Oryzias latipes: one gene and its partner. The protein of the gene in region 1 interacts with the protein of each later gene in a pairwise test. Links are inferred from orthologs where the notes say so. Each region holds a gene or a part of one and is shown on either strand. Other genes may lie near its edges.

Region 1 (3,383 bases):
GGTTATTCATGACAACAAAGGACTGGTGTGCGAGACTGCAGTTGCACCTCTGGTCTTTTAACTTTTAGCTTTAAAGGGAATCTGGGGCAAAGAGGCCCAAAAGGGAGACATATAGCATAAACGGCAGATAGCCAAAGAAAGTGGAGATTCTGCCAAAAGGAACGGAGACAAGATGACAGGGCTCTGTGTGGGATTTCACTTTGGATTTTGGCCCTGCAGGAATATGTGGAAACACAACTGACAGAACTTGCTTGGAGAAGTCAACTCCATTCAATATAAGCAGTGTCCTGTGTAGTCTCCGATGCACCAACATAAACCTCCAAGGTAGAACACCGCTTGATAGTTTGCTTTACTTCTCTGGTTAAAAAGAGCTAAGAAATACCAAGACGTGAAAAAATGTGATTTCACAAAGGTCAAACTGATAAAAAAATGTGAGAAATCCGGAAAGTCCCGCATCATTTTCACACCCTGTAGATGTATGGAAAGTCTGTGCAGCACAGTAAAAAGAGCAGATGACAATTTTAGCCGAGATTTATTTCACATTTTTTTTGCTACATTCCTCTTAAAACTAGGGAGCGTAGGCCAGTAATCTTAGAAATACTTTATATACGTCATATCAACTTGATCATCAGAGAAAAAAAAAAGCGATCTTGTGGTTGGGTAGAACAATAACTTTTAATCTGTTCAGTCATGTCTTAGGCAACAAATTAGCTTTAAAAAATGTAAAAAACACAAACACATATACAATGAAAATGTACAAGACTCAAGGTAAGGTTATGATCCAATTAAATAAGTCCCAATGTTGCACATGAAGTTGAGGTTCATACCCCCCAATGAGGCAAATGGTGTAAAACATTACAAAATAATATCTTTTACTGCCTTAATCAGGAATTTAAACTTTGATGAAACTATTATCTTTTTTTTATTTCATGGCACAAAACATTAAAATAATCTCAACTAATGCAAAACCACTTCATTTGTATCACAATATAAACAATATTAACTGGAAATTCTTTTTGAAATGCATCATTGAAATCAAATTTTTATGACAATTGCAACACTATTTTATTTTAGATTAAATACTTGAAAACCAATTGGGCCAGTTTGTCGGTTTGACAACCAAATCAATCCACCAATAACAACCTAGTCAACGTACAACATCAGCAATAAAAGACTTAATTTATGTTTGTAAATTAGAAATTATATTCAACCTAATGTAGGCTCCAAGTTTTAAAATAAACTTTGTTTGGGTATCCAGCTCTTATAAATCCTTCGGAATTGGTTTAATGGGGGCTAGACAATCACAAATGTCCTTGCAATCTCAAACTTCTCAAATGTCTTGTATCTTCTCATGTCAAAAATCTCCTCTTGCACTTTATTGTTATTCCCTAGATGGTTCTTAAGTTTAAGAAAACTAGAACATCAACAAGGAAATGAAGAAAAATAGTCCACAGAGGTCTGTAGCGTCATACGTTTGACCGCGACAGAAGAGTCTAGTGCCTCCTACAGCTCGGGAGGGTTTTAGTCCAGCTGCTCCTGCTTTATCCTGTTTGAATTAGGGCCTCGCTGATTTGTTCTCCTCAGTTCCCTCCGCAGGACGTACTCGCTGAATTGGGATGAGTCCACGCCTCCACCGCAGGAGCCGGCGATCTCAAAGCCACGTTGTTGGAGACGCTCTAGAACCTGAGGATGAGACAGAAGGGAGAACCTGTGAGTAGGAAATAAAAGGAGGAGCAGAAGCCACTGCAACAAACCATACTTTCTTCTTCTGTTGCATGCATTGATTGTCACCGTTTTACTAAAATGATGACTCTGAAGGATAACCTTTTGTTTAGCATCTCCAGACTGGGAAACTGGGGATTGTACCAAACACCTCCAACACATGCTGTGGCTTGAGTGCTATGTCTGGAGCTGGAAACAGCTTTGAATGTAAGCTGCAGCAGCATATGCTTACTGTGTGATGGGATTTTGGATACGATTTTCACAAGACTTCCACGAAACCAAGAGGCTCTCACGCAGGTGAATGCTCTGTTCTCGTTGTTTTTTTGGGTGTACATGTGTGTTTTTCCATGTGCGTGTCTAGCTGTTCCTGATCTTGCAGCCTTGCAGACATCTACTAACGTGTCTGGGGGGGCTGTAGGATCACATTCCATCGAAGAGGCCCCAGGGAGCAGTGAGGCTTTTCTTTCTGCCACTTGGCTCAATATGGGCTGCTCTGCGAACACCCCTCTCCACAGATTCCCCCCGGGGTCCAAGCCTCCACCAAAACTACAAAGGTCCCCCAACTGCTGGCAGCTCTCTATGCTCCCCTTCCTTCTCTCAAACTCCCCCCGTCCTGCCTCCATTAGCCGCAGATACAGCATTCACCGGCGGCGTGCTTTAATAACCAAACAGGATTATGGGCTCTGCCTGAGGACAACCTGCCAGGGAGCATGCTCACTCTTTGCTTGCTCTCCACGACTCACACACTTCAGAGGCCGGTTTTGTTTGTGTGTTTTTGGGAAGGAGGTGGAAATTTGACTTCAGATGGCAACACAATCCAAATCATTGTGAAATCTTTCTAAACAGGGTCTCTCCTAATCAGTTATTGATAGCTGTCTGAGGTTATTAACATCACTGAATTAGCAAAATATCAATATATTAACCAAAGTAGGGTCATTGCCAAAATGCATGCTGCTCAGAGCCTGGTTTAAGAGCCAGAGAGTGTTTATTGGTACAACACAATTTCTAGATAGTCATCAAGGAAAATTTTGCTGAAGGTACTCCCTTAAATGTTTGCTAATTTTCATTTAGGTGCAAATTACTGTTGATCATTTGGATTTTATGAAGATAGGAAGCAATAGATAAGAATAAGCATAAAGAAGTTTGATGTTATTCTAAATAATCATCGATTCAAAGACCCCTCGGGAGGCAGTATCTGTTTTTTTCACATTTTGTAGGGGTCCTTGTGGCTCATGTAGACTTCATTCACTCAATTCTCATCAACAGTGCATGAGCTAGGGACAAAACCAGCCCTTGCAGCTTATTTTGAGGACTGAAGCTTAGTGCGGACACACAGGCATGTGACGCACTTTAAGAACGCGCTATACGTGGGTTCTTTAAAGTGCGAGTAGCCCACTGTATTCACATTGGACAAGCAGGGAGGGGCTAGCACATGTCCTTCACCTACAGTTAGTAAAGGCTTGGTGAGAAATGTCAAAGTGGTGCAAATCTCGCAAATCTTTCTCCAGGCTTTTTCTTTCACAGCTCTATTCCGACATATAAAAGACTTGGTGTCATAATTTCACCCGGGCACAGACCGCAATTATTAATTTCTCCTCCGTGATCAATTTAATGAATTAATAGGGACACCATTCATACGTCACTACCAAATACTAGTCTCT
Region 2 (3,182 bases), on another chromosome or scaffold:
TTCCGGTTAACTTCCGTGTTTCGAGTGTGAGGCCGACAACTACCTGTTGGTCGTGTTAGTGTTGTGGGGAGTTTTGTTGAGTTGCTAGTTTTGAGTAAATAGGAGCAGATTTCGGGTAAAAGAAAGGAGTTTGGTGTTTCAACGCGTGACAAAGACATCACAACATTGTTGTGTATACCCGTGTGCGAATTTGTCAAAGTACAACAGTACTAATATAAGCTTTCATAGCTTTCCAGTATATGTGTCGGTGAGAGCCGAATGATGGTGAACACGGCGGGAGGACTTCACCCCAAACAAGACGAGTCGTGTTTCGTATTTGCAGCAATCGGAAAGAAAATACGTCATGTAAACACACCGTTCGGAATACTTTGCCCCGGTCAGACTCGTTTGGATCAAAATTTCTTTCCGATCGAGATAGCTGGGTATACCGATCGTTGTTCATGTAAACGGTCATTCCGATCGTGTGTCACTGCTGCTCTGGGTTACGTCATGCATTGACGGTGTTTCGCTGAGAGAAAGCTTTGGAGCTCATACGGGACCGACCAGCGGCTCTGCGGACGCCCCGCGTAAAGCGCCGCTCCGCTCTCGCCCCGCTGGGTCTCCCCTCTCTTTCACCCCTCACGAGGGAGATGCGGGGGGGGGGGGGGGGGGTGCGTGTCCACTGACGTCTGAAACCCAGCATCCGAGCTCTGCGTTCGGGCTCCGGAGCCAGTGGACCGAATGAACCTCTGACTGAGCAGATCAGCTGGATTTATTAATGTGTTTGAGGGGAGGGTGCTTTGTTACGTGTGCGTTTTGTTATGTGTGAGAATTCGGACTGCGAGCCGAGCCGCCGCTCTGGGTTAGCGGCTGCCGGACTCGCGAGGACAGAGCAGAGCTCGAGCGGCCAGCTTACACAGCCGTCACGGGGCAGTGTGTGAGCTTTACAGAGCAGAAATGCCGCTCAGTCCTTAGAAACTGTTCAAAAAATCACGACACATGGAATCGTGTTTCTAATTGTGCCCCGACAAATAAAGGCTGATGTTGTTAGCCCGTGTTGTTAGCCTATCCTAACACTGGGTTGTTCTTCAGTTCTGTTCTTCTTCCACAAAAAAAAAAAAAGCACTGACCACAAGGATTAAATATAAAATGATGATCGAACAGGCACTTCATAATATTCATAAAATTAATAAAAGCACGTTTGGAAGATCGCCTCGTATATTACCGAGCTGCTGCATAAATATGTGACAGCACAGGTTTGTTTACAACGGGACACATTTCCTTTCGGTATTTTGTACACTATATTTTTCGACACGATATTTTGCCCATGTAACCACGCACTGGTCGACAATCCTATAGATGTCGTTCACGTCGATTTTCGGGAGACCTTGTAGAAAACGGGTGAAATATGCCATCTTTCGCAATCAAAATCTGCCGTGTCGCTGCTATAGAAGTCGCAAGCCGGAAATGGTCGGCCTCACACTCAAGGCGGCGGAAGTAGAACTCCTTACTTTCGTGCACGGAGCCTATTCCATCCGTCTATGTCACTCTTGACGCAGGCCAAGGTTCTCTTCTCGGTCACGTGATAGGATCCCGCTAAAATAAAACCCAGGAGCTGGCAAAATTAGTAAAAAACAAACGTCTTTGGAAAGTGTGAAAAGGGGAAAAACGCCCAGCCAGGAGACAGAAGAGGAGCCTTTGCACCAGGAGTGTAGGAAGGGGAGAAGATGATGACACCTGAGTGACGTCCGTGTCAAAATGAAAGCACGGATTCTTCTTGTCATGCCTGCGCTTTAACTTCAGTGTAGCGTTGCTACAATAATTGTCGGCCACATCATATAGACCGGCCCGTGAAAACTTTGTATGACGTCATACCGGTCCGCGGCGTTAAAAAGGTTAGAGTTTATGTCAGCACAAACATAAAAAACTGAAACCAACGCAAAGCACACAAATGCCAAGACAAAATCAAACTGACAAACTCACACACCAACACATCCTAACACAAATGCTAACACACATTCACACACATCCATGCTAGAACAAACTCGCATGTTAACACACATACACACCAACATAAATCCTCATACAAATGCTAATAAATACGGGTGCATATAAATAACCCTTCTGTTATCTTGTGGGGTCCAGATGACACGCTATTCACGCACACACGCCAACTCTACCTCACACACACAAACTTGCACACATATGCGCTGACCCAAACACACACAGACATGGCTTTTCTTCCACATATGAGGGCAGGCGAGGACAGAGGATGACATAAATTCTATTTTGTAATATTTCGAACTCCCGTCTGACCCGGTGGTTGAACACCGCCGTCCCGTCACAGCAGGGTGACCGTGCGCTCACCTGCGTCGCTGTGCGCCACCACCACTCCGAGCTCGTTCTCTGCAGTGGTCAGCAGGTAGTTGGACTGAACGTCTCCCAGAGAAATCTAGCGTCAGGTTAAGGTCTGCCATGCCAGCTTCTGAGCTTTGTGCGCGGAGCATCAAGAAATATGAAGGATACCACTTTGGCCAGAACAATGTCCCCAGGTCTAAAGCTTCTGTGCATCTCCACCTAAACAAAGCTCAACGTCAGACCAGCAAGGACGGACGGCGCCGGGCCAAACGGATCTCGCTCACCTTATCTTTCTCTGTGGCGCGAACGTCTTCTTTCCTGAACACACAGAAGAGCGTCAGACAGCACTAAAACAGCCACATCTGCTGCGTCCACTCTGCCTCACCTGATGGTTCCTCTGAACAGGTCCTTGAGCGGCGTGGAGCCCACATACAGGATGTGCACTTTGGCGAACCTGGAATTGATGCTCGTCACCTGTAACATGAAGGATCTGACAATTAAAATGTGTGCTTGATGTACTCACATATTCAGACTAGAAGCTTCTGGGATTCAAACAACTTTCTCTGGCAGGGAGAAGTCCAGCATCTGTCCCACAAAACCTAACCAACTATGTGGAAAACATCATCTTATCTGCAATTTGGTGTCAGCTAAAGCTTTGGAAAAACCTTTGATTACATAAGTGCTGTAAAAGCTTTTCTCTTGTAGAATCAGTCTAAATAGGAGCTAATATTTGTTCACACATGTGAGTGTGAAACCGCTTCCAAATGGCGTAATAACACCAGTCCTCCTCTCTGTTCTAGGTATTGAAAACAAACACGTCTTTGATTTTGAAAGTCTCCCTGTGG

What was found.
Region 2: the proteins of kctd1 (region 1) and exosc1 interact in binary tests that used the Homo sapiens proteins (3 or more experiments, as listed by UniProt). The two-hybrid records come from large-scale screens. The link is inferred for Oryzias latipes from reciprocal best matches to the Homo sapiens genes KCTD1 and EXOSC1.

Annotation. Positions count from the first base shown.
Region 1 is NC_019875.2:25,794,063-25,797,445, forward strand, and holds the end of kctd1 (BTB/POZ domain-containing protein KCTD1), read right to left. Parts: intron 1,684-3,383; coding exon 1,522-1,683; 3' UTR 654-1,521; downstream 1-653. UniProt on the Homo sapiens protein: May repress the transcriptional activity of AP-2 family members, including TFAP2A, TFAP2B and TFAP2C to various extent.
Region 2 is NC_019859.2:28,382,303-28,385,484, reverse strand, and holds part of exosc1 (exosome complex component CSL4), read right to left. Parts: intron 2,812-3,182; coding exon 2,723-2,811; intron 2,656-2,722; coding exon 2,622-2,655; intron 2,557-2,621; coding exon 2,506-2,556; intron 2,432-2,505; coding exon 2,347-2,431; intron 1-2,346. UniProt on the Homo sapiens protein: Non-catalytic component of the RNA exosome complex which has 3'->5' exoribonuclease activity and participates in a multitude of cellular RNA processing and degradation events.